Linked DNA regions of Tamandua tetradactyla. The protein of the gene in region 2 purifies or fractionates together with the protein of the main gene of each other region. This does not show direct contact. Links are inferred from orthologs where the notes say so. Each region holds a gene or a part of one and is shown on either strand. Other genes may lie near its edges. The genes, in order: MED8, CDK19, MED23 and MED18.

Region 1 (6,972 bases), on a different chromosome or scaffold from region 2:
TACAATTTTAGGTTTTTACTTCTAGCTGCTATAAGATACTGGAGACTAAAACAATATCAATTTAATGATTCAGCAATCATTTCTGTACGTTAAACCCTACCTTCTCTGTATTACTCCACCATCACCTTTGATCTTTCTATCCTACACATTAAGGGTATTGGCTACGGTCATGCTAAATCTTTCATGCTAGAAGGGGCTGTCAGTAATATGGAGTAGGGTGATGGAACTAGCTGATGTTCTGGCCAGGCTGGGCCTTCTAGGTTTCAGGAGTTATCTGGTCCAGGGACCCATCCGGAGGTTGTAGTTTTCTGGAAAGTTACCCTAGTGCACGGAATCTTTGTAGGATCTTATATTTTGCCCTAAGTGTTCTTTAAGATTGGCTGGAATGGTTTGGTTGGGGTTTGGCAAGTTATGATAGGTAGCAATGTCTAACTGAAGCCTGTGTAAGAGCAACCTTCAGAGTAGCCTCTCAACTCTATTTGAACTCTCCCAGCCACTGATACTTTATTAGTTACACTTCTTTCCCCCTTTTGGTCAGGATGGAATTGTTGATCCCATGGTACAGGGTTGAACTCATCCCTGGGAGTCATCTCCAGCCCACACTTTTTATTGCCACTCTTTATTCCATATTCAGAACTTCTATAACTATTCAACAATTATGTTCATGGCTCTCAATCAAGAACTTAATTTCGAAAGTGTACCTTTCTCCTCCTCTTACCATAAGATCTTCATCTCGGTCTGGGGACAACAACAGAGGGATGATGACCTGGTTACGGAACAGTGGTGTTTTTTCATGCTTTAAGACCTTGTTTAGAGTGTTCAACTGTCCAGAGAGCAAGGCAAAACTGTCCAGGACAGAAGGCCTGGGGGTAGTAAGAAAGTATTAGAAAGTTCCCCTCCTTCCCTCAGGTAGTTTCCAGTAAAGTAGCCTCTAAGTAGCCCCTATTCAGACTAGGAATATCCAGGCTCATCCCAAAGAGACTCACGGCCCTATGACTGATTTTGGGCAGTAGCCAGACTGGCTCACAGGGATGTAGGAAAGAGGGACACAGTTTCAATTTCTGACAAAGATGTAGGTAAAAGACAGTTCATTGTATGAATGGGCTGAGGAACAGTGGCAAAATAGAAACGACAACTTCACTACTATCGCTAAAAACTCAGAAACTTGGTAAAAGCTGCTTTTTCAGCCTGGAACAGGATCCACACTTCCAGAGAAGACTGGACCTAAAAGACCCAGCCACAGTTTGTGGCAACGGGTCCAGCATGAATAGAGCTAAAGTGGACAGGCTGAGAGAGAAGCTCCTAATCAGAAAAGATAGAGGGTAAGAATCAAAACCTAGCAAGAACCTGGGTTGGGAAACAGGACATCTCTTTATTTCCTTGCCACTGAGGCCCTAAACCAAACTCCAAATGTTAAATGTTGGGAAACCCAGCTCTTCACAAATCAAAAGATGTTTCCAAACTGATAAATGATTACAGCATCAGAGTTGACCTACCTGTCAGAAGGCCCAGTTCCACACTTACTAAACAGCCCTCCCCAGCCTACCTTGGCAACTCTTACCAGGTCAGCCGGTCATACTCGTTCTCCAACTTATAAATGAAACTCCCCAGTGAGTTCTTCAGATCAGCTGCTTGACTCAGCAGTGCATCTAATGATGCCTCAAGTTGTTTCTCTTCCCTCTGCATTAATAAAAAAAAAAAGCTGGCTACCCAGATTGATGTACTATGTCAACATACACAGATGAAGACATGACAATACCTGGTGAGGTAACAGAGATGAGCCAGGTTGTTTTCTGTCTTTGGTATTTTGGTTACAGATGCCATCAACCCTTAGAACTTTCAACCTATTCACCTTACCACAAATCCTCCTACCATCTGATTCCTTTCTCTCATCACCTCCTAATCCATGCCTGGTTTTCCTACGTAATAGGTACTCTATTCTCCGTGGGACTCATTGCCTTCTGTACACATGTACATCAACTTCCTTTAACCAACAATCTGCCTTGTAAGCTGTTCTTAACACTGACCACATCCCTGGGAAATCTGCCTACACTTGATGCATTCTCTGAACAGCAGCCCTGCCCATAAGCTTCACCTCCAACACAGTTCTTTATTTGCTTTCAAACTCCTTCTTGCTGAATCAATTTACATTCATTTTGTTTATTTATATGCCAGCATCCCTATGCTTCTTTCATAAGCTCACTCAACCTAAAAACATTTACTAAAAGACTACCAGGTGCAAGAAACTAAATGACTAATGAAACTCCACAAATGACCAGCTTCTAAGCACTAGATGAGCAATTTTAAACGCTTGGGGTCTGCGAAGCGTTTTCTTTCCATCTGTGGCATCCTATTTTACTCCATTTCTTCACCCTTAACAATCAACCGCCTAGGAAAAATAATGCAAAACCGTCCTGCAAACCCGCTAATATGCCTGACAAGAGCCTTGATGCTGGATTGATGCCACGGCCTCGGTTATAAATGGCTTGGCTTCCCCACAATTCCTTTCCCCCTCGGGCTTTTCTCCAGTTTTCTTTACAGAGAACAGCCTCCATTTCAACCTAGGCTAGGGTCTGCGTCAACACACCATTTCTTGAGAAGTCTTCTCTGGACTGCATCTCTGACTCTTCATTACAAATTAATTCATTCCTACACCCAAACAAGTCAGTGCTATCTCCTCCCTCTGAATTTAGCAGCAGTCTCTCTCCTATCAGCCGGGCCCCACCCCATCTCTCATCTGCACCGCCCACTTATCTTAGTGGTCTGCCTGGTCCCCCATGCCGCGTTCCCTTACTCATCAGCAACCGACCCTGCCCCCGCCTCACACAGCGAACTCCACACTCTCTCCTCAGCCAGCCCATTTTCGGTTACAGTAACCGAAGTTCGCCGGCTGTCAACAGGACCAACCTAGTTCTCACCTGCATGGCGATGGCAGTAGCGGCTGCACCGACTTCTTCTTCCGGTTTCCAACTCCGCGAGCCTCTCTGGAAGGGCTTCATTCACCAATCAGGAAACTTGGGACTCAGCCCTCCCACTCACTTCCGGATCCTGTCGCGGGTAGAGTAGCCGGGTCAGGGGTCGAGGGTGGACCGGCGTTCCCAGTCGAGGGAGGGTTGTGTGATGGCCTCGGAGCACCCGGAGCCGGAGGTAGGGGCGGGCGGGCCCAGCGCTGGATCCCTGGATCCGAGTGGGAGGGTTCGGCGGACAGGCGCTGTCGTGGTCTCCTCGGGGCCTGGGGGTGGCCCGGCAGCGTATTCCTTGGCAGGGACCAGCCCAACCCCGGAAGGCCTGACAACGGAACCGTTTCACCGCGGTCTGCAGCTTTCCCGGGGTCTCGAGGCGAAATTTTTGTGCTTTTTTTAACTGAAATTTCATCAGCGTCGCCGGTCTAATGCTTTTAGGGCTCTTTATTCTATTAGTGGTATTAACAAAGCCCGTGGTTTGAACTTCTAGTGTTTTTTTTTCAGTGACAACACGATAGTAGGCTTACTTTGCCGGTGTCTGCATTTCTTTAAAAGTTGTACTGCCATAAGCAAATAAATTAATATAATTCTAGCACTCATGGTTTTTGGAAAAGTAGTTCTGCTTTGTGTGAAAGAACATTTGAGTCGAATAAGACTGCGTTCCAATATTAGCCTTGCCATTTAGCAACCTCGGGCCAGTCTTATCTTCCCATATCCTGTTTCCTTCTTTGTAAAGTATCTACCTTATGTGGCGTTGCGAGGATCAGATGGGTTACACCAGAAAATGCGTTTGAAGTATTTACTAGATGCTAAGGATTATTATACAAGGAACTTATATACATTTTGTCACTCAGTACTTGTGCGTGGAACGTGACGATATCTATTCTCATTTACAGATAAGGAAACTGAGCAGTGAGAACGGTTAACTACCTTGCTCCAGTACGATTCACCTGGGTAGTAGAAGATTTTGGCGTTAGAATAATACTTAGCATGAATTCTTAGATATGGAAAGAACCACACCAGGAAAAGTGCTGAGTTTTACAAGCGATTGTACTAGTAGGTGGGAAGGGGCTGGGATGTGTGTAATAATATAAATGTAGTCATTAATTTATTGAATACTTACTGTATGCCTGGCACTATTCTAAGCACTTTACAAATCAATTAATTCTTTCAACTGTATATGAAGTAGCTTTTTCATAAAATCCCCATTTTTATATTTGGATTAAATATAATCCCCATTTTTATATTTGAAGAAACTGAGGCACAGAGATATAAAAGTAACAAAGTTGCGTAGCAAATGGTGAGCCAGGAGCAGGACTCAAAATCAGGTGGCTTAAGTCTAGATCCTGTGTTAACCATAATGTTTGTAACAATAAATTGTAATCCCTGTATGGTAGATCTCTGGCTCACTGGGAGATGGATGAGACTGACTATAGAAATTATGCCTTATTCAAAAGAATCTGACATGTTCACTGGGATGGTGAAGTAACCCACATATGCTTCAAAAATAATAATGATAAGAGAAACCATGGGACAATTTGGACTGCATTTAGGGATGGATTCGAATGAGAGGAAATGGAGGGATATAGTGGGGAGATACAGCATATCTTTTTAGGCAGACAATCTAATAAAGCAGCAGTGTCCAAAAGACATATGCAAACGACAGGCATAATTTTAAATTTTCTAGTAGCTGCATAAAAAGGTAAAAAGCAGGTGAAAGTAATTTTAATAATGTGTTTCATTTAACTCATTATTTCCAGAATATTACCATGTGAACATATAATCAATATAAAAAATTAAGAGATGTTTAACATTCTTTTTTTGTACCAAGTCTTCAAAATCCAGTTTGTGTTTTAAACTTATAGCACATCTATCTCAGTTTGGACTAGCCATATTTCTAATGCTCAGTAGTTCCATATGACTAGTGGCTGCTGTATTGAACAGTGCAGGTCTAAAGTAACTTGGTGTTAAGACACACATTCCTGGGAGTTTCCATTCAGCCAAAAGTTAGGCATTTGTTGAATTCTTGATTTGAGTTTCTGAAAATTTTATCTTAGAAGGTAAAGGAAATGAAGAGAGCTGCCCCTGGGCATAAAAAATGTGACTGACTTTTAGAGGTTGTTATGGTCCTGAGAGGATGATTGGGCATAGTCAGAGAGATGCCCTAGATTTAGAAAATCATTCATTCATCAAAGACTTAAAATATTTCATGAGTGCTGCTATAGACTCAGAATTGTGCTAGGTATCAGGATGGATACAACTGCATAAAACAGAAATATTTCCTATCTTTATGGAGTAAACACATACTGAATTATAATAAGCACTGCAAAGGAAAAATACAGAGTGAATGAGAATGTTTAATAGGGCCTCTTAACTACTCTGTTAAGTAGGGGGTGGGATTCAGGGAAGACCTCTTGGAGGAATGACATTTAAACTGAAGCCTGAGGATGGGTGAAAGTTGCCTATGAGAAAGTTAATGGGTGGAAGTTGCCTATGAGAAAGTTTAGGGAGCACTACCAGTAAAGGGAATGGCGAAGAAGCTTGGAGCTTTCAGGGAACTGAGAGGAAACAGCTGTTAGCATGGATACAATGTGACAATGAAAATAGCTAACACTTATTGAGTGCTTACTAAGTATCTTTTAATTCCCAGTTTAACAAACCCAGGAGATAGGTACTATTTTCCCTATTTCACTGATGAGGAAATTGAAGCATGAGCATTTTAAATAACTCTTATCAAGTCGTGCAGCTAATAGACAGCAGAACCAGCATTTGATCCTATGTGCTCTAGCACTAGAGTGCATGGTCTTAACCTGGGGACAGGAGTGGGAGGTGTATTGGTGAGAAATGAGGCTGAGATTGGAGAAGATTCCTTTGACTCTGTGCTGGAGATTCAGGACTTTGGCGTAAATATAATGGCAAGGAGGCTTCAAACAATTCAAAAGAAAAAAACTACCTTATTTCAATGGGAGTCTATTAACAGAAGATAGCACAAAGGTTGGAAAAAGTTCAAAAAAATAATTGATCATTCTTCTCTGCCATGCAGGAGACCCGGGTTTGATTCCCCATATATGCATCCCCCCCCAAAAAAAATCAACAAATGGTGCTGCAATAAAAGGATAGTCACATGGAAAAAGAATGAAACGTTACCCCCACCATACAGCATACAAAATACTACCACTACTACTACTACTACTACTACTAATTGACCTTAATCATATAGGGGGGAATACAAAAAAACAACAAACTAATGAGATGGGCAAGGTTTCATTCATCCTGGTGCACATGGTATACAACACAGTTCCTGACAGTGTGGTATTCATCCTGGTATTAATGATATGTCGGCCTTAATAAATGCCCCAAAGGATGATAGTCGTCTTTTTTTTTTTTTAACACATGGGCAGGCACTGGGAATCGAACCCGGGTCCTCAGGCATGGCAGGCAAGCATTCTTACCTGCTGAGCCACCGTGACCCAATAGGCTTCTTTTATCATTATTCTGACTCCCCTTTCATTGCAACAACATCCTTACAAGGTAAATGTTCTGGCCCACATTTATCAGTGAAGAAAGTGAGGCCTGGAAACATTAAGTAACTTGTTCAAAGTCACCTATTATAGCAAATAATAAAACCAGATTTGAATCCAAATCTCACACCCCAAAAACCCTACTTTGTCTTCTTTGTCAGACTGCTCTAAGAGTAATGCATTTTGAACTCAAGGAGTATTAAATATTGGGGATTTGAAACTGCACACGAATGTGGATGGAGTGAGAACACAGCTAATTTAGGGCTTCTCACACATTAATATGAAGGAATCACTTGGGGAACTTGCTAAAATGCAGATTCCTGAGCCCCATCAACTAATTCAGCTGGTCTGGGATGGTGCCTAAGAATGTGCATTTTTAATAAGCCCAAGAATGAAAAATGCCATTCTAGGTGCTTTAAAATTAGTTCTTAAGTTTTCTGGTTCTGATAAATTACATCTTAAATATAAAGGGAACTTAGGGATTATGT
Region 2 (7,226 bases):
GCACACATACATTTTTAATTTTGATAGATGTTGCTAAAATCAAAGACTTATACATATTGATATATACATACATTTAGTGATGTACACTTTCACTGACAACACAGGAAAGTATCCATTTCCCCATATTCTTGATAACAAAGAGTGTTATCAAACTTTTTGAGTTTGTAATTAAGCTTTTTATAATCCGTATTTGATTTTTTTTCCTACCTACACATTTATGACTTTCCATTTACCCCAAGAATATATTCAGTAAGTCCTAGCTGTGCAGTTTACTAGTTGTCTGTTTGTTCACATATAAAATTGGAAAAACAGTAGAACACATCTTATAGGGATATTTTGAACATATTTTATAGGGATATTTTCACATTTAAATGATATAATGAATGCAAAAATCCCATGTTTACATAGAGCAAGCAACTGAAAGATCTCCATGCTCCACCATCATACACTGATGACTTCCAAAGCCCTACACATTTAGGCTTGATCTCTGATTTACAGGTAAAACTATTCCCCTGCTTAACTGTTACTTCTATCTTGATGCCAAGCAGGCACTTCAAAGTCACGATGTACGAAACCAAACTCATCATCTTTCTCTCAGAAATTCCTCCTACTCCTTTCCAAAGGTAAAATCTGATTACTGAATTAAAAATCCTAGAAGTTATCTTGGATTCTTCCATGTTTTTTTAACCCCACATTTAATTACCTACCAAGTCTACTGAATTTTATTCCTACATAATCCTGGTATCTGCCTTTTTTTTCATATTTTATGGTTCAGACTTTGTATTCAATCAGCACTAACTGTGGTGGCCCAGGGCCCAGCCCCCCTCCTAAACAGCCCTAATACACCTGCTTTAGGAGAGAACAAAGGTCAAGAAAGTAAACAATCTCCCTGGAGGGGGAGGAATGTAACCACAGATGTAAAAACAGTATTGATTGTATCTGAGTCTTAAACACTAAACTTAGTAAAACATCAGCTCTTAGGCCCCTTCAATGATTATTCTAGAGACTCAATGGCCTCATACTACATGGAATGTCTTTGTTCTAAAATCATATATTACTCTTTGTGTGTGTGTGTGTATGAACCCACACACACACACCCTATTCCTTGTGGAGTGCTATTTCTTCAAACCAGCCACCACTGAGACCCTCTCCTGTTTTTAAATCCCAATAAATCTACATATATGTCTGTGCCTGGCATGTTTTTCAGTCTTGCATCAGCACCAGCCTGTGCTCTGTGTGACTCAGTCTGGGCCCAAACACTAATGTAATAACTTTCTTCTTACCTTCCTTCAGTTTGTCTGGAACAGTGTTGTCAGAAAGATCTTCTGAATACAAAAGACTGATTTACATTACTCCTTAGCTCAAATGTCTTTAATACCTCCCATATTGCCTATGAAATCTTACACCTCTGCTTGCTAAATCTACCTTGTCATAACTTGACTTCTAATCATCTATCTGTCCAGTCTTCTCTTCCTTGACTTCTTTTTTTTTATTTTAACATAAATTAACTCATTTATTACAGACTAGAGATGTTTCAAATTGTTGAGCTTCCAATGTCTTTCATCTCCGCCAGTCCTCTCACGGTGACTCAAGCACCTCCGGTGACTGTTTTCAAGCAAGAACCACACTGAAAGCTCCTCACAGCTCTTCTGTTTATTTTGGTTTTACCACAGAAGAAACATGTGCGCTTAGCGTGCTAGCTGATTTCAACTTTCTTCACCATTTTCCTGAGGGAGGGGCCATCCGCGTCCAGCATGTACCTACCATTCCAACCAGCTTGGTGCATTTAGCCATGTTGAGGCAAACCAACTCCAAGCCCAGAGAATCCCATCTCTCTTCCTATCCACCTCATTTTCCTGCCTTGGTCTGTTTTATTTCAACTTTTTGCTTATCTTAGAAGATATGCTGTCTCATAATATATGTATTGCTGCTCTTTCTGAAATAATTCCCCTGCTTCCTACTCCCTCATTTGTCTGCCAGGCAAAGCCCTACCCAAACTTTAAATTTTAGCTCAAAACTACCTCCTTTGTGACACCTACCCCGACGCACCTAGATTTAAGAACTCCTATTACTGTTTGTACCCACGGTTTATTTATTATTATTTTTAAATTTTGAAATACTTTCCAACTTACAGAGCAGTTACAAAAATAATATGCACCCCATACAGAGAAACCCAATATACTTCTACAACTCATACCAAGATGTAAAATTTTGCAACATTTACTATATTATTAAATTTATCTATCTCTCTAACTATCAACCTACCTACACACCTACCTATTCATTCTCTGTACACTTCAGTGTAGGTTGTATTCTCATGTTCCCCCAACATTTAATATGACTATGTACATTTCCCAAGAACAAAGGTATTCATTATGTAACTAGCTTAAGTGCAAAAACCAAGTTCAAGAAATTTAACATTGATATAAATCTTAGTCTATATTCTACATTTTTTATATGTCCCATTAATGTCCCTTAGGGCCTTTTCTCCTTCCTTGCTAGGTCCCATCCTGGATCATGTACTGCATTTGTCAGTCTCTTTAGTTGCACTTTCTTCTCTTTTAATTGTGGGTATATATATAAATATATTATATATATATAAAACATAAACTTTTCCATCGCAACCACTCCCACCCACACCATTTAATGAACTTAATCACATTCACAATATTGTGATCCACGCACCACTTTTCATTACTCGAACTTTTCCATTTTCTCAAACAAAAACCCTACATCCATTAAGCATTAATCCCCATACCCCCTGAAACAGCTTTTTAATGCTTTTATGTTACTTCAAAAGATTTTAGTTCCCAGTCAGGAAAAGAACAGTTTTCATCTGGTATCTCCAGCACTGATTACAGTGCCAGGCAATAAGAGAAACTCAGATACTACTTGATTGCAAATATCATCAAGAGCTGAAGAAGTTTCCTAGGGAGGAGCTGTTGTAAATAAACGATCCTGTTTCCTCCCTCTAGTTTTCCAGGCTTCTTTTAAAACTTAGTAGGCAGGACTCACTCTTCGCTTTCTTTACCACTTGAGTTAGCATTGACTATTCCTTCCTTTGGGTTCCCACTGAATGCGGTACCTGAATCCTATCCTAGCACCTATCACGTTTATGTTCATCTGTATGCCAAACATACACGATTTCATGGACGTAGTAATGAAATAAATCATAGTTCACACCGATTAAAGAGACATCCTTGAACTTTCTAGGACACCCTCATCACTTTGCATACACCATAAAACCCCCTTTTCTATACAACCAAAACGATTGTTATTTAAAACGCTGCATCCTTCAGGCACTACGGGAATCGCAGATGTTGGGGAAGGTGGGTGATGCGAGGAGGGGACCGACTACAGCGCCTAGAATAGGGTGATTGGCTACTGGGGCTTAGAAGTTATATCTTCTCCTCAAACCAAGGCAACAACTAGGAAACCGCTGTGAATTCCGCATTTGAAATACGGTTTTTGCATTGTAAAGAAAAAAAGATTAGCCTATCAGGAAGAACTCAGCACAACGAATTTCCAATCACGAGCGGGAAAGAAGCCAAAGACTGGGGATACCCAGGCACCAACAAGGACGTTATTCTCTAGTCTCCGCCAATGAGCGGCCGGACGGTGGCGGGGCAACAGGCGGACCAAATGCCGTAGCAAAAACAATCTGCTGTACAACTGTTCCAACCACACTACTCGTCTCCCAAACCATCGGAGCAAAGTTCTGAGCAAGGCACTTGTTAAATACTTTCCACTCTTCTACTCGCCCGGGGACAGTCATAGTGGAGTATGACACTTCCACCAGAACAAGGGCTATCTTGAGGTCAGTACCCATAGGACCGCGGTGAAATAATACACCGCAACTTTCAGCTCTCCACCTTCACAGGAACTGGGAGTGCACGGCTACCTGAGGGGGTGGGGCGGTCCCAGTGCGCAGGCGTGCGTGCCTTGTTGGGGGCGAGGCTGTGAAAGCCCAAGACAGCATGGGAATTGTATTTCTTTCGCGGGACAAGCCTCCGTCGCTCCTGAGGCCTTCGGGACTGCATTTCCCAGGAGTCTTCGCGGCCTCGGGGGGCGGGCTGGTTTGTTAATGAGCTCGAGAAAGCCGTGGCGCGGCCCACCAGGTTCCAAAACAAGGAAATGAAGGGGGGAGGCGGGACTGGGGCTGCCTGCGGGAGCCGCCGCCGCCGCGGAGGAGGAGGAGGAGGAGGAGGAGGGGGTGGAGGAGGTGGCTGCCGCGGCCGCCGAGGAACCCCTTGCTGAAGGCGGACCGTGGAGTGGCGGGCGGCGCGCGCGCGCGCGCCCGAGAGGCGGCTGTTGGAGAAGTGGAGCGGCGGTCGCGGGGGGAGGAGGAGGAGAGGAGGAGGGACTGAGCGGCGGCGGCCCCCGCGTCCCGGTGCCTCTATGGGGGAAACAGACAATGGATTATGATTTCAAGGCGAAGCTGGCGGCGGAGCGGGAGCGGGTGGAGGATTTGTTTGAGTACGAAGGGTGCAAAGTGGGACGCGGCACCTACGGGCACGTCTACAAGGCGAGGCGGAAAGATGGGTAAGAGCAGGGGCGGGGGGAGTAGGCTCGCTCGGGTCCTCGCCCTGCCCGCGACCCGGCGGGATAGGTGGGTGGGAGCCCTGTCGGGCTGTGCCGCGGGGCGCGGCGGAGGTGGTCGCCGGGCCGCGTCCCGGAGCGGACTCTGAGGGAGGCTTCCTCTGCGCGCCTTCCCGCGAGGCCCCGTCGCGCCCCTCGAGCTCCGGCGGCGCACTCCTGTCGGGGGCCGTCGGTGCGGTACCGGAGGGCGCTCTCCGCGCGTGCCTGGAGCCGCGGCGGACTCGAGTTAGAACCTCGGTCGGAGGTGGAGTTTGTGGGGTCTGGTCTCCTGGGGAGACGCGGAGGGCGGGGAGAGCTCCGCCAAGGAGTTGCCGCTCCGGCCCTGGGTTGGTGACGGTCGTTGTTGAACTTCCAATCGGCTGAGCCCCTCCCGGGGGCGGCGGTTTGAAACCTCGTAGCGGAGCCGGCCGGGCGGCCGAGCGCCGGGGTCCCCGCCAGCCTCCGGGGTCTGACCCGTCGGCATCGCCACCTCCAGACACGACCTCCGCCCCGGGGGCCAGCCTGCCCGAGTTGAGCCTTCAGCACAGCCCTTTCTGACCCAGTCGTGTACCCGGTGACTTCTTGACCCCTCCTCGCCCGCCTCAGATTTCGCATTCTCAAGCATTCAGAGTTCCGCACGTTCCCTCGAATGTGGGACCTCCCTAGAGACTAACCCGATTTTGTGCGCCAGAATTTCAGAGTTGGTCCAGGTTCTCTGGTACCCCCGCTCCCCCCCCCTCCATTCTCCCCCACTTTGGGTGCTCTTCTGTCCTCCACTCTATCCTCTGCCAGGTGACTGCGAGCTGGAGCTTACCGGGCACCTAGAGTAACGAGAAAGAAACACGGGGCGACAGAGTTGGGCCTAAACCTTTGTTTTCTTGGAAGTTTAGGGAGAACTGTAGAACCCCCTAGGAATGTTCCCTTAGGAGATGAGCTGAGTTATCAGTTGACATACGTACATCCTGAGGGCAGACGAGCTCTTACTGCAGGACAGGTGGAACCAAGTCCTTGGCTGCGAAATGTAGGTTTAAACCAGTTGTTATCCTATGTCCAATCCTTGCAGGAATTCCCCTCCCCCAGGTTAGGGAGCCAAGAAAGATCTGTCTGGCCCCCTTATTCTCTACATTCGGTCATACTGTAGGAAGGAGAGTTTTAAAGAATTTCTGAATAAAAACATTTCTGAATAAACTGATTACAAGCCGCTTTGACATTAGTAGATTTGTAGTGTTGTTTATCGTTCTGTGCATTCTGTAGCAATTTGATATGGTTGATTTATGAATGCTAGGACCAAAGTAGGAAGAGTGTGTGTGTGTGTGTGTGTGTGTGTATGTATGTACGTATGTTCCTGCGTGTGTGCACACGATCGTGCTATTGAACATAACTTTATAAAGGGTGTTATCATAAAGTGTTGGGAGGCGTTTGCACTCCTTACCCCGTCTAGATTGATTATTGGTGTCAGGAATTATGAGACTTGACACTTGAGAAAGTGGTTTCTGTGAAAGTATGTTGGAAAATACAAAGCACTATACAAATGTAATGGACTATTATTTTTGCAGATATCTTTTTTCTCATGTCAGAGGCCCTATACTACTCAGTTATTTGTAAACTTTTCTCAATTCTTTTAATCACCAGGTAGTCTTGAATGAATATCATGGAATATGATATTCATTTTATTTTTTTTTAATTTAGTTTTGTTTTTTGAATATCCACTCGTTACACTGTTATTTTTGTAGGAGTCATATATATTTGGGGAAAGCACATCAAGTTTTCTTATTTGGACATTGATGTTACAAAATAAATCAAAAGGTGGTTCTTTTCACACATGCTTTGTAGTATATATTGTCTAGAATTTTATAATGTATTTTAATTTTTTGTTAGCTTCTTTTTATCAAACTTTTCAGAAAAATTAAAATTTTTAAAATTTTAATTCAGAGTTGTATCTGTATAGCACAGACTTACAACAAAAAACCCAGATAATTTAATTCCCGCCTCTGTTTGTCCTTTTTGAATATTTTTCCTTTAATAAAGTCCTTGATTCAAATACACTTCCTTCTTGAGTGAAATTTATTTGATTAGAAATAATAAAGTTGCTTTAAGAGATTAACAAGGTTTCATCACAGCAGATTAGTTTATGTATCTTCAAAACAATATGCTTTTATTTTTTTTCTAACTAGGATTTAGAAGCATTAGCTTAAATCACTATATTGCATTTTAGAGAAACCATACATTTTTTTCCTGGATCTAGAATGTGGTTGAGAGTTGAGGCATTACAGTAAACACATCTCTTGTGGGCTCATAGGACGTTATTTTTTTATTTTATTAGTTTTATGATTTCAGCTATTTGAAAGAACAGAAAGTTTTTAGTGATGGCTCTGAACTGATGCAGAATTCCTGAGTAAAGGATTTTACACCCTGATCATGATGTTTCCAGATTTTATTTTGGTTGACTCAGAAAAATGTATAATGCTATTTTAGGAAACAAGAGAAATCACATGGTGTTGTTAAAGAGAAATTATTCTGTTGTATATAATATATAGTTAAAAAATTGTTCAGGTCTGTAGACGAATCATTGGAAGAAGTAACTTAATAGAAAATATCATTAGAAGAGCCTCTGCTTAAAATTTGATACTATAGTTTACAAAATCTTA
Region 3 (6,838 bases), on a different chromosome or scaffold from region 2:
TTTAGGAATAAATTTAAGAAAAGATATACAAGACTAGTGTACTGAAAACCACAAAATAGAGCCAATAAAATTTAAAGAAGCCCTAAATAAAAGGAGAGATCTATCATGTTCATGGATTGAAAGGTTCAGTATTGTTTAGTTATAAACTGCCCACAAACTGTGCTACAGAGTCCATCCAATTCCAATCAAAATACCAGTATGTTTCCTCCCAACTTCGGATAAATTGATAAGCTGATTCCAGAAATGCAAAAGACATCTATAATAGTCAAAATGAGCTTCAAAAAAAAGTTGAAGAAAATACCTTATCCTTTTTCATGACTTACTAAATTATAGTACTTGAGACAGTGTGATATTGACATTAGGAGAGAGTCCAGAAACCTATTAGACCTATATTAATACAAGGAAATTCACTGAAGAAAGGAAAATTGTTTTAACAAACAGTACTAGAACAAATGTATAAGCGTATGGAAAAAAATGAGTCTCAACCCCTACTGTACACTATTTACAAAAATTAATTCAGGATGGATCATGGCCCTCAACATTAAAGCTAAAACATAAATCCTCTGAGGAAAAAAAAAGACAAAACTGGAGGATATCTTCATGACCTCAAAGTAGACTAAGATTTCTTAGGCCACTGAAATGCTAACCATAAAATTTAAAGAGTTTTCAATTGGACTTCATCAAATTAAAATTTTTCCTAATCAAAAGATATCATCTAAAAATGAAAAGGCAACTTCTGGAGGACCTCTTTTCTTGCTCAGATGTGTGGCCTCGTTCTCTCTAGGCCCAGTTCTATAAGTGAAATCATTGTCCTCCCCGCCACGTGGGACATGACAACTAGGGGTGAAAGTCTCCCTGGTGGTATGGGAGATAACTCCCAGGGATGAGTCTAGCCTGGCACTGTAGGACCAAAAATGTCATCCTGACCAAAATGGGGAAAAGAAGTGGAACAAATAAGGGATCAGTGGCTGAGAAAGTTCAAAGAGATTCAAGAGGCTACTCTGGAGGTCACTCTTAGGCAAACTTCAGTTAGACATTGCTACCTACCATAACTTGCCAAATCCCAACTAAAATCATTCCAGACAATCTCAAAGAACACCTAGAGCAATATGTAAGATTCTACAAAAGTTTCATGCAATTGGAAAACTGTCCAGAAACCTACAACTTCCAGATAGGTCCCTGGACCAGATAAGTCCTGAAACCTAGAGGGCCCAGCCTCTCCAGAACATCAGCTAGTTCCATCTCCCTACTCCATATTATTGACAGCCCCTTCCAACATTAAAAAGTTAGAATGAGCATAGCCCAAGTACCCCTAAAGAGTGGGAGAAAGTTCAAAGATGATGGCTGAGTTATCCAGGAAAGGTAGAATTTAACAAATGAGTATAACTGCTGACTCATTATATTGGTATTTTAGTCTCCAGTATCTTGGAGCAGCTAGAAGTAAAAACCTAAAATCGTGGCATTGTAGCCCATACCAAACTTTGAAATCTGTTCTACAACTAATTGTTGTGCTGTGCTTTGAAACTTTTTGCTTTTCTGTATATATGTCATTTTTCACAAAAAAGAAAAAGTCAATTGTGATGATAAAAATATATTTACTCCTTCTAGTCTCTAATGTTCTGGAGCAGCTAGAAGGAAAAAATCTGAGATGATGGTATGATAGCCCATGACCAACTCTGGGATCTGTCCTGCAACTACTTGAAAACTATTCCTTTTTTCTTTCTTTGCTTTGTATATAAATTATACAATGTAAAAAGTGAAAAAAAGAAAAGGCAGGCCAGGGCTGGGAGAAAATGTTCACTATACATATATCTGATAAAGGATTGTATACAGATTATATAAGAACGCCTACAAATAAATAACAATAAGAGAAACCACACAATTAATAACGGACAAATAACTTGAACAGACCCTTCACAAAAGAATGGCCAATAAGATATGAAAAGGTATCAACATCATTAGTCAATCAGAAAATGCAAATTAACCCCCAAGGAGATACTGCTACCCACCACTTAGAACAACTGAAATAAAAAAAAAAACTGACAACACCAAATGTCCATAAGGACGCAGAACAACTGGAACTTTCCTCCAATAGTAGTGGGAGACAAATCAGTTCAACCACTTTGGACAACCGTTTGGCAATTTCTTATAAAGTTAATCATATGCTTTGACATAAACATGAATCAGAAATTCTGCTCCTAGGTATTTACCCAACAGTGGGGAAAATATATGTCTACAGAAAGACTAGTATGAGAATGTTTGCAACAACTTTATTCATAATCATCAAAAACTGAAAATAACCTAAATATCTATCAAAGGTGAATCAATAAATAGCTACATATAAATATAATGGAAGACAATTCAGCAATGACAAATATGGATGGATCTCAAAATATAATGTTGTGTGATAGGAGGCAGACACAAAAGATTACATGCTGTAGGATTCCAATGATATAAATTTCAAGAACAAGCAAAACGAATCAATGGTTATAGAAATGAAAACTGTTTACTTCTGGGAAGGGGAGTTACCTGCAAAGGAGCACCAGGAACTTTCTGAGGTGATAGAAATTTTCTATATTTTGATTGAGTGATAGTTACACAAAGTGCGAACATTTGTCAAAATTCATGGTTCTGTACAATTTAAAATTCACGCATTTATTATATGTAAATTATACATAAATCTTAAAAGTATTAGGGAAAAACACATTAAGTAGGTCTGGAAATGGATAGTCAATTTTTATTCAATGAATGCAGCATTAGCAAGCGTAATGCAACATTAATTTGCATTTGGTTATGGCAAAAAAGGAATTGTTTTCTGACCATTTTACCTTTGTAATTACAGAAGCCTTGGTCAATATTAAGATTAGTTGACATTTTGCCAAGAATACACTGATTTAGTTAGCAGGTAGAGTTTTCACCACATAATAGGTGAAAACTGTCTAGAACTAAAGTATGATTAAAGATAATCTGAAATACAGATAATCTGTTTTCCATAAAGAAAATAACAATAGATTATTAGAGAACTTGGGTTTTAATAACCCAGGCTCTGTTATTTTCCTGGGTTGAATGTACTGCAAAATCAATTATTTCAATACAATTTATTAAAATACCTACCAGTGCACTGAGCAGAGGGAGGATAAGTGTTGCGTAAGTGGAATGCTCTGCTACGGGTGCATACAAGATGTTAGATGAGGATAAATCACTTACCTCTAGGGGAGCAAGGCTAGCTTCATGAAGGTATAAAAATTAAACTATTTGAAGGAATGAAGCGGTCCCACTTACCTTCTGCTCTGACCTCCAGAGGATCAACCTACCTTTGACCTTTCTCCACTCCTATCCCCATAAAGAGGCTGCAGGTATTGAATAAAGGGCAATTATTTTTAGATGATTATAACTAAAAATGATAGCTATTCATTTTTTTTTCAATCTTTATCGAAAGCCTACAGCCAGCTCTGAGTCCGGGCACCTGGGCCACCATAGTTAAGCAACATGGTCCTTGTCGTCAGAAAAAGTGTGGTTTCAACACCCGCTGTTCGCGGAGCTCCAGGATGCCCCCCCCCCCCGCGCCCCTTTTTCTACCTTTTGCAGAAGCGTTAACCCGGAGCAGGAAGTAATTCCCACTCTGACCTGCAGGGCGCGCCCCGCAGCCGTCGACGCCTCCGAGTGACTTGTACTCGAGGTTCCTCTGGGGGGCGCTGTTGTGCGGCTCGCGGGCCGCCCTTCACCACAGGCGGAACTGGCTGGCCGGCTCGTAGTTTCTGGGAGTTCCTCCATCGGAGCGCACCGGGTTGTTCTCAGCTTCCGTGCAGGTCCGGGTTGTTTACGGGGCCGGGAGGAGACGCGCGGGGAGGGGCACCTGCGGAGGAAACCCGGGGCGAGCTGAGGTTTCCTCGGGCGTCTCAGCCCCTCGGCCGTCTGTTCCGGGAGCCGCTCGCCCCACAAGGCGTGGGCAATGGTACAGATGGAGACGCAGTTGCAGAGCATTTTTGAGGAGGTGGTGGTGAGTGGAGCGGCCCGGAACCCAGGGCGACGCGTCGGGGTGGGGAAAGCAGCGGGGCCGCGGACCCACGAGCCCGGCCTGGGCAGCCGCTTCGCTCTCCTCCCCTTGTTTTCACACGGAGTATGTATGTGTGCAGGAGGTTGTGATTGTCAAGTGCTGTCATTCGGGGTCTCTTTTGAAATCCACACATCCTTTGTGGTAGGCCTGGCTAGTATTGTTACATTCTGCGTCGCTGATCGGGGTGATTGTCATGCTACATTGTAATAAATCGTTAGGGGAGCTCCCCCCAGTTCCCACTCCTTTTTTTTTAATTCACATCGTTCACGTGTTTGCCTTTTTTTTTTAACCCCCACAGAAAACAGAAGTTATAGAAGAGGCTTTCCCTGGGTGAGTATAGTGCATGGCAGGTTTCTGTGTAAAAAACATGAGGGTGCTTTTGTAAGACGACTTAGGTTCGTCTTGGAGGATTATAATATAGACTATCCTGGTTAAGTTGAATTCACTTTTTTTTAAAGCTAGTGGCAAATAATCTCATTATTAATTTTTTTTTTTTTTAGTATGTTTATGGATACGCCTGAAGATGAAAAAACAAAACTTATCAGCTGTTTGGGGGCCTTCAGACAGTTTTGGGGTGGTCTTTCTCAGGTGAGCATTGCATTTTTTAATACATTCATTTGATGATTTGGGACCTCTTCTTTCCTTGAGTTTTACTCTGATGTTGCTGTTAGGAACGTCATTCCATTTTTCTGGAAAGGGAGAAATAAAATTGTCATTGTCTTTTCTTTCTTTCTCTATTCTGGCTTACATTTGTTTTAATCTACCTATTTTCAATGAAGAACCTATCTTGAGAAGTCAAGTTGATGACCGACCGCACAGTGTTGAGATATTTTCGCTAACCTATAATGAGATTCTTTATTTGATATTTGTTGAATGTCCCCCTGTTAGATTAAGATCATTTCACTAATTCTTCTGATTTATTTGATGCACTTGAAGACAACTGTGTTGGGCGTTGTAAAAGGATAAAAATGTCACCAACTTTACTCAACAGATGAAGGAACTATCACAACACTAATAGAGAAATTTGTTAAGGAGATAAAGATACCATAGTAAAGATGCAAAGGTAATGCAATAAAGATACAAAGATATCCAATTTAAAGGATACAAAAAATGTATTAAAAATGTAAAAAGTGCAGTAAAACATAGTAACAAAGGATAGTTACTGGGAAAAAAAAAGACCTGTGTCCCTGAAGAAGACAAAATGTGTGATCCTTATAGTTTGTAGTATATAATCTTCTCATAGTACATTAAGATAGGAAAATGAGAACTGTTTGCGGTTGAGCCACTGGTGGTTAGACTTCACAGGCAGGGGTCACATAGTCATAAGGCATTCAGATTTAAAATTTTTAAAAATTGTTCTGTAATAGGTAATACATTTATGTGGTTCAGAAAATACAAAAGGGAGGATCCAATGAAAAGTCACTCTTTTAGCTTAATCACCTGCTCTTTTTTTCTCTCTGCAGCCAGTGTCTCCAGTTTGTTTTTTTAGAAATATTTTATGCATATAGAATTGTACTTACAGAATGGTCATGTACTGTGTATGCTTGGTTAGCTCCTTGTTTTCTTCCCCATGATAATAAAAACTGAAGGTAATTCCACATCAGTCCAGTAAGAGTTATTCCTTCCTTCCTCCCACCTTCCCTCCAGTCTTCCCTTTCTTCTAGCAGCCTAATATGTATGTCCATGTCTTCATTATTCAACTCTTTGTCTATGAACTGACATTTTCATTGCCTCTTAAATTTTCCACTTTAAACAATGCTGTAACGAATTATAGTTTGCACAGGACATAGAATAAATGCTGGGTCAAAGGCCTGTCTGTTTGTAATTTTTATAAAATTGCATAATAGCCTTCCATAAGGGTTGTACTAGTTTACACTCCCACCTGCTATGTAAGAGAGTGTCTCTTCCTTGTAGCTTCACAATTGAGTGTTAATAAACTTCATGCTCTTTGCCAATCTAATAAGTCAGAAATTTTATCTCAGTATGCTTTTATTTCATGTTTCTGGAGTGAAGTTCGACATCTTTTCAGCATGTTTTAGTTCTAAATTTAGTAAACGTTTTAGGACTTAAGGTATGGTCCCATCTTCAAGAAGTACTAATGGAGGTGCCAAGAAGTAAATGGATATTTCTGAATCTGTGTCACATCAATAATACAAGTATGTATGAGGGACAGTGGTAATACAGAGGATGTATAGGATCTTCTTGGGTGTATCTCAGAAGACAAATTCTGATAGGGGCACAGGGTTTTAGTGTCACATTTAAAGCTTTGCTAGACTAGAAATTGGATATCTAATTGGATTTATAATCGATTGGGCTTCTAGGGGTTAAATTTATACTAACTTCTCATGAGGCTGATGTACTAATCCATAATGGATTTTCCCCCCAGCGAGACAGCAACATTTATATCTGCCGTTAAAGGCACTACTTCTCTTACTTCTTCAGGGTATCTGGAGGGTCAATTTACAGCCAGAATATTGACTACCTCAAAAGGTGTGAGATACCTGTTGTTTCCCTCCTCCTGTAGTAAATCTTTTTGTTTTGTTTTGTTTGTGAAAAATAACATATACCAAAAAAGCAATAAATTTCAAAGCACACCACAACAATTAGTTGTATAACAGATTTCAGAGTTTGGTATGGTTTATAGCAGAGACGATAGGATTTAATGAGTGAGTATGACTGGTGAATCATTATATTGAATTTCTTTTAGTTACCAGTGTCTTGGAGTAGCTAGAAGGAAAAGCCTAAAATTGTATTGTGACCCTTCAGTAGATCTTTTGTGAC
Region 4 (6,976 bases), on a different chromosome or scaffold from region 2:
ATAGATTGTAAACATCATTTATTGGTTGTGTGGACTCAGGCAAGTCATTTTACTTCTGTGAATCTCTTTTTCCTTCACTATAAAGTGGAGAAGGTGTATCTAGCTTTTAGTAGTATTTACAAGATTTATAACTATATAGCATAAAATGACTAGCATGTAGCAGCTGCTCAATAATTGTGATCAACATAATTTTTGAGAACATGTATAAAGAAATATGGGATTCCTCCCCTTGAGATGTTTACTTTAAATATATAAAGTATATAAATAATACTTTATAAACATTATGCCCTTTTACTTTTACAAACTTCATCTTATAAACTACTATTATTATTTCCAATTTACTCAAAAGGAAATTGAGGCTCAGAGAAGGGAAGTAAGTTGCCTAAAGTTGCACAGCAGGATAGTGGTAGTGGCAGGTTTGAGCCCAATTCTAATCAACGAGTCTTATATCTTATCAAAGAAACCCATCCCTATAACTCAAAGGCCTCATCTATATTTTACCATATTGTTCACCCATTTTTTTGTTTGCTTGTTTGTTTTTTGTTTTACATGGGCAGGTACTGGGAATCAAAACCAGGTCCTCTGGCATGGCAGATGAGCATTCTTGCCTGCTGAGCCACCGTGGCCTGCCCATGTTCACCCAGTTCTTATTCATCCCTCTAAAAAAAATTATTTAACCAAATGTCATCTACTGTGAAATGCCAACTAAACTTTGGGATAAATACTATGGTGCCTCAAAGAACCTATAATTCACTGGTCTTTCTGTTCTGAAGTTAGTGTCTGAATAGGAAAGGAGAGGCCCGGTATTTTTACATCCTCCTCCAGTCATTTTGTCATTGAGAATTTATCACTCAGACCAATCTTGTGAATCACTAGTGTGGTCAGGGGTGCATCTTAAATCCTGAGTTATATGCAGCCTTAATAACTGTAAGAGGCTTATGCAAGGGCCAGTCCTTGGCCATCTTCTCCTCTTCTACACACTCTTCCTGGTTGATCTCATTCATTCTCATGCCATCATCTATGATCTATAAGGCAAGAATTATGAACACTCTACCTCTAGCCCAGCTCTTTCTCCCCTAAATTTTGGCAGGACATTGTTACTTGAGTGCCCCATAAACACTCATACTCAATGTGTATACATGTGAACTCATCTTTCTGACCCACTCACGTTTCTCCGTGTTTCCTAGCTCAGAGAAAAGAATTGCCATGGCCACCCAAGGTAGAAACTAGACATTTGTGACTCCTTCCTCTCTCTCTCTGCCTTTATCTCTTAGTCATCAAATCATTACACCTTTTATATTTTTTAAATCTGTCTTCTCTCTTGGAGTACTCTTTTAGCTAGAGTTGATCCATAGCTCTTAACTGGTCTCCTTTCCAAAGATTTTCTCCATATTGCAACCCCTGTGATCTTTTTAAAATTCACATCTGTTTTTCAGCCTGCCATACAAAGTCCTCCAGGATTTGGGCCTTATCTGCTTCTCCAGACTCTTTCTTACCCCTTCCATAGATTCTATCTATGTACCAATTCTACTTAACTTGATATCCCTTTGTACATAATATTCCCATTGCCTGGAACTTCCTTTCTGCCATTCACTGTCTGGCCAACTCTTATTTAATTTTCTGAGGCAGCTGGAAAGGGAAGGGGTGGGCGGAGGGACCCGTTCCTCTTGGCCTGCACATATCTAGCCCTCACTCAGGTCAGCACCTGAAAAGAACCAAAGAAAAGTGCAGCTCATCAATTCCTTATTAACATTAATAGAAGGGGAAGGGCCCCTCTAAGTCTTATAATGTAGTAGTCCCAATCTCAGAGTGCTCTCCTCCTTTGGAGAACACCTATGCTCACCCCCTTTGAGGGTGCACTTTCGCTAGTCATTAAACATTTTGGCTATTGTTTTAATTTGTTTAAGCTGCTGGAATACAATTTATCAGAAATGTATTGGCTTTTTCAAAGGGGATTTATTAAGTTACAAGTTTGAAGTTCTAAGGTATCCAGAGAAAGATACTTTGACTCCAAAGAAAGGTCAATGTCTGTCACATGGGAAGGCAGGTGGCTAATATCTGCTGGTTGTTCTCAGTTTCATTGCTTCCAGCTTCTGATTCCAGTTGCTTCCTCTCTAAGCGTCTGTGGGATCATACTTCGTTCTGGGACAAAACTCTGGGTCTCACCTCTTAGCTTAGCATCTCCTGGGGCCAGAGATTTCTTCTCTTCAGGTTTTGGCTATTTCTGTGAGTTCTTATTTAACACCTGGGCTATTTCTGTCCTGATCTCCAAAGGTCTGTGTCTAAGTTGCTTCTGAAGCAATTGTCCTTTTCCAAAATGTCTCCCTTTTTAAGGACTCCAGTAACTAATCAAGACCCACCTGAAGTGGGTGGAGTCACATCTCCATCTAATCAAAAGGTCACACCCAAAATTGGGTGTGTCACATCTCCATGGAAACAATCTATTCAAAATTTCCACCCTAAACAATATGTCTGCCCCCACAAGGTTGGATTAGGAAAAGAGCATGACATTTTTGGAGTACATAACAGTTTCAAACTACCACAGTTAAACACTGACCAGTCCTCAAATTATTTCCTGTGGCTCAGTGAAGAACCTGCATCATGTCAGGTCCTGGATGAGGTCTCTGAGAAATCCTGGGGCTCTCCAGCATCCAGCTGAGAACTCCCCAGGCTGTCTGGCATTTAGTTTATTAAGCTTTTGGCTGCACATACTGATTAGCTCTTAAATTCTTTCTTGTGACTGAGTTAACAGCCCTCACGGAGCCAGCCGCTGGTTGAGGTCTCAACCTCTCAGAACTCCCAGAACTCTGCAACATCACCTCAAGTTCATCCAGTACTAATTACCTCTTTCAGGGTACCCCCTTTGATCCTCCCAGGATGGGTCAAGTACCCTGCTTGCTTCCAAAGCAGCTGGGCTACTTTATATTTACCCATTTTATCAAGTTACATGGTGCTGTCTCCTTAGTTTAATTCTCCAATAGCGACAACTTGACTATAAACTCTTCTGAGGGTAGAAATGGAGTCAAATCAACAAGTAGCAGAATATTTAGAACACAGAAGACTCCCAATTTAAAAAAAGAAGAAGAAAAAAAAAGAATGGTAGATAGTGTAGGGGAACCATATCTAGAGTGACAATATACTGTAGTAAAAGTGTGAACTCTGAAGTCAGCTACTTAGATTTGTATTCAAGTCTCACTCCTTCCCTGAAAGTTAATAAACATCTCATTGCCTAAATTTTCCCACCTGTAAAATGACAGGATGCTGTGAGGATTAAAATTTAAATTTTGATATTTTGTTAACTATGGATTTTTTGCTTTAACTTTGTAAAATATCATTTTTATCGCTTAGTCATTTGTTTTTGTTTTTGTCTTTACACTTCTTTCAAATTTGTGCCCCAGGAGAGTGCCTCACAGGTCTCACCCTGGTCCCGGCCCTGCCCTCATCTTATGTGCTTGATATAAAAGCAGCTTTCCATAAGTATTTGTTGAATTTACTTATCTCCCTTTATTTTTATATTGAGTATAACATACATTTACAAAGAAAAGTGAACAAACATTAAGTGTATTACTGACTTCCCTAATTGAGAAGAACATTATAAAAGTTTTCAGTAATGAATAACAGTGGCGTCTTCATTTTTCTCCCTTGGGTAACCCCCCAAAAATGGCTTTTTTTTTTTTAATGTCTTTCTTTTATAACATTCTCCCCTTCTCCTCTCATTACTTTGCAGTTCCCTTCCCCAGGTTCTCTTTTCCTCTCTGAGAAGCATTGCTCTGAGTCCAAAGTTTAGGCATGATTTCTTTTTTCAGTCCTATCAGCCCCAGGAGATTTCCTACATAAAAACCTCTCCAGGTCGTCGAACTTGGAAAAAAAATGACGTCACGACCGCGGATCATTCCCATAGGAACGCCGCCATCTTCCATACAACAGCATCAGATCTTGCGCATGCTCGTCTGCTTGCACAGCGGAAGACGGTGTTTCGTGCCCTCTCGGCACCCGTACATTGAGGGATTTGGTAGACGTCTGCCGTCCTACCGGAAGCGGGAAGAAGAGTGGTTACTGTGGTTGTGCTTGGCCGTGCGCTTTCCCTGCTTAGGTAACGTGGGACTGGAAGTTGCTTGGAGCTGTGCTTAAAGGCTCCGAGGTGCGTGGGTGGCTGTAATTCCTGACTTTGCGAGAAGAGGCCAGAGCGCCCGCTAAGTTGTATTTCTAGTGTAAGTGGGTAAGTGGGCACGTGTTCTGGAAGCCAATTTAGGAGTAAACCTCATCTTAAAAGGACTTCGCTTCCCCCCCCCCCCCCCCCACTCACTTTAAAAGGCGCTTTCAGTGTCTAGGAGGCAGAACCCCTGGGTTTCAGTCTGGCCTGAGCTTTGTCACTGACTTGCTCTGTATCCTCGGGCCTCTCTCCTGGTTTCAGTATTTTCGTGTGTAAAAGGAAGGGTAGACAACGTTTCTTAAAATTTAGTTCTTTTGAATTTTATTGTACGTGCATTATGTCATTTGAGCTACACAGACTTGGGGGTCAGGTATCGTTTGCCTCATTACTGTTAGGAAGACACTGAGTCCAGCATGAGAGGTTGCTCAAGATTACACAGCTAGGTTTTGGAGGATTTAGAACTTGGGACGAGAACATTATGCTGGAGCAGGTCAGTCCTGTATATTTCTGTATCATCAATTTTTGGAAAAAAGACCTGTCTAACATAGCAATTACCAAAAAAAAATTGATGAATCTTTTGATATTAAGGCCAGTTACGCAAGCAGACCCATCATCTCTCCATCACTGATGTATAAACAACTCTAACTCTTCTCAGGTGTATCCTGTGCCTTACCTGATTGGGGGCTGAGTCTGATTCTTTTGTCTTTGACTTAATCAGTCAGACATAATGGAGGCTCCTCCAGTCACCATGATGCCTGTCACTGGGGGCACCATTAACATGATGGAGTACCTGCTGCAAGGTAAGTGAACCAGAGAACTTGGATGATTTGTCTCCCTTTATCTTATTCAGTTTCCCTGGAGATGGGAGACTGTTAATACAAAAGCAGCCTGCAGTTTCTGGCACTCCGTAGCCACCTTTTTTTTGTCCCTGCATTTTATTATGAAAAAATTAAAACATACAGAAAACTTCAAGGAATTCTGCAGTGAACCCCTGTATATTTGCTACCCTCATTCTAGTTTTCACTTACTATACTTCCCTTATTATGTATCTGTCCATCTCTCCATCCATCAGTCCATATTATTTTTTATGCATTTCAGTGTAAGTTGAAGACCTCAGTATATTTTCTCCTAAGTACTTGAGCATGCATAAAATTAGAGTTCAAAATTTGTTATTTTCTCTGAAGTAAAATTTATATACAATGAAGTACATAAGTCTTAAGTGGACATTCCATGAATTTTAACAAATGCATTCACCTGTGTAATCCAGACCCTTTTCAGGATATGAACAGAGAAGGTAATGATTTTCAGAAGGTCATATAATGTTTAGTGGAGAGTTTAGACTTTAAATCAGATAATTCATTCAGTAACTTAATAGGCTGGGAATAGGGTTATTTTTACTTCCCAACTTGCTCCTCCTTCCTTCTTCTACATCTCAGTAAGTGGCCCTCTTATTTACCTGTTGCTTAAGCTAAGCAATTAGGAGTAAATCTGTTTTTCATTTTACTCCTTCATCCAGTCTAAGTCTTTTTTACTTTATTTACAAAATGTATTTTAAATATGACTTTTCTCCACCTGCAATACCACTGCCCTAGTTTGTCATCTCTTGTCTGACCTACTTTACTAACCTTCTGCTTCTAATGTTCCTTCCTCTTTTGCTCCTCTCTTGTCCCTTGTCATACAACAGCCGGTGATCTTTAAAAAAAAAATTATAAAAAATATGAAGATAAAAAAATAGACTAGTATACTGAATATTCCATATTCATCATCTAGCTATGCTAACATTTTGCCATATTTGCCTCATTTGTTTTCCTTTGCTGATATTTTTAAAGAAAATTTCGACATCATAACATTTCATCCTTTAACACTTCTATATGTATCTCTTAAAAAAAAGCATATTTTCCTCCATGATCGCAATACCATCATTAGCATTTAACAAAATGAATAATTTTTAATGTCATGTAATACCTAGTCCATATTCAAAATTACTCTGAATACTTTTTTCCCAGGCTTTCAAATGACGTTCTCATTTTCATCATTTGGGTCTCAGGTCAATTGTCTCTTGCCTTAGAAAAGCCTTCTCTGACCATTCCACCCCCTCAGAAAGTTCTTTCCTTCATCCCCACCAGTTGCTCTCTACTCCGTCTCTCTTTTATTTCTTTGTATTTCTGTTAATTTGTTTACTTAGTGTTTTAGTGTTTTCACTACTAAGCCCTAATCTCTGCAGGGCAGGGCCTCCTACTGCCTAGCACAGTGTCTGGCACAGCCTTCAGTAGGTATATGTTAAATGAACCAGCACTTGTTAAGCATTTAAAATGTTTGAGGAATGTAAGAGGATAGATAGGAGCGAAGGTGATTCTCTAATGGGTCTAGAAGTAGTGTTAGCATATTGAAGATGATCAAGATTCAAAGGGGTGGTATAGACCTACGTGTCCCACTGATTCACACTAGAAATATGAATGAGCTCTCATAAGAATTACTTCAAAGATGTGATTCTTGTATAAAGAGTGTTTAAGTCCAGGTTACAAGGGGAAAACTGCTGTTGCATGCGATGAGCTATGTTCAAAAGGAAGCCATCAGCACTGCCACAGCAACAGCAGAGGTAAATAATGGGGTGAGGGACAAGAGTTAAGAGGAGATTTAGATTTCCTATTTGGCAAGGGTGTGTTTATTGGTTTTCTGTCTCTTGGAAACAATGAAATTATCTAAAATTGAGAATGTTGATGGATTGTGAACTTTGGGCCTTCTACATGATGCCTGATGAATGCAGGTGGCAGAAGATGCACTGATAGAGAAGTAGATTGGCAACCAATGGTGTATACTTAT

What was found.
Region 1: the proteins of CDK19 (region 2) and MED8 purify together in Homo sapiens (affinity purification with mass spectrometry; 6 studies listed by BioGRID and IntAct, counting the BioPlex papers as one, with this or other methods). This does not show direct contact. The link is inferred for Tamandua tetradactyla from reciprocal best matches to the Homo sapiens genes CDK19 and MED8.
Region 3: the proteins of CDK19 (region 2) and MED23 purify together in Homo sapiens (affinity purification with mass spectrometry; 5 studies listed by BioGRID and IntAct, counting the BioPlex papers as one, with this or other methods). This does not show direct contact. The link is inferred for Tamandua tetradactyla from reciprocal best matches to the Homo sapiens genes CDK19 and MED23.
Region 4: the proteins of CDK19 (region 2) and MED18 purify together in Homo sapiens (affinity purification with mass spectrometry; 5 studies listed by BioGRID and IntAct, counting the BioPlex papers as one, with this or other methods). This does not show direct contact. The link is inferred for Tamandua tetradactyla from reciprocal best matches to the Homo sapiens genes CDK19 and MED18.

Annotation. Positions count from the first base shown.
Region 1 is NC_135328.1:180,671,424-180,678,395, reverse strand, and holds the start of MED8 (mediator of RNA polymerase II transcription subunit 8), read right to left. Parts: upstream 3,027-6,972; 5' UTR 3,000-3,026; coding exon 2,919-2,999; intron 1,681-2,918; coding exon 1,562-1,680; intron 864-1,561; coding exon 719-863; coding exon of another isoform or gene 702-718; intron 1-701. Other genes in the region: KICSTOR complex protein SZT2, read left to right, coding at 3,121-3,147. UniProt on the Homo sapiens protein: Component of the Mediator complex, a coactivator involved in the regulated transcription of nearly all RNA polymerase II-dependent genes.
Region 2 is NC_135331.1:169,436,218-169,443,443, reverse strand, and holds the start of CDK19 (cyclin-dependent kinase 19), read left to right. Parts: upstream 1-4,216; 5' UTR 4,217-4,414; coding exon 4,415-4,542; intron 4,543-7,226.
Region 3 is NC_135351.1:31,606,258-31,613,095, reverse strand, and holds the start of MED23 (mediator of RNA polymerase II transcription subunit 23), read left to right. Parts: upstream 1-3,815; 5' UTR 3,816-3,952; coding exon 3,953-4,000; intron 4,001-4,355; coding exon 4,356-4,387; intron 4,388-4,557; coding exon 4,558-4,645; intron 4,646-6,838. UniProt on the Homo sapiens protein: Required for transcriptional activation subsequent to the assembly of the pre-initiation complex. Component of the Mediator complex, a coactivator involved in the regulated transcription of nearly all RNA polymerase II-dependent genes.
Region 4 is NC_135328.1:197,874,034-197,881,009, reverse strand, and holds the start of MED18 (mediator of RNA polymerase II transcription subunit 18), read left to right. Parts: upstream 1-3,973; 5' UTR 3,974-4,093; exon of another isoform or gene 4,094-4,219; intron 4,220-4,808; 5' UTR 4,809-4,880; coding exon 4,881-4,953; intron 4,954-6,976. UniProt on the Homo sapiens protein: Component of the Mediator complex, a coactivator involved in the regulated transcription of nearly all RNA polymerase II-dependent genes.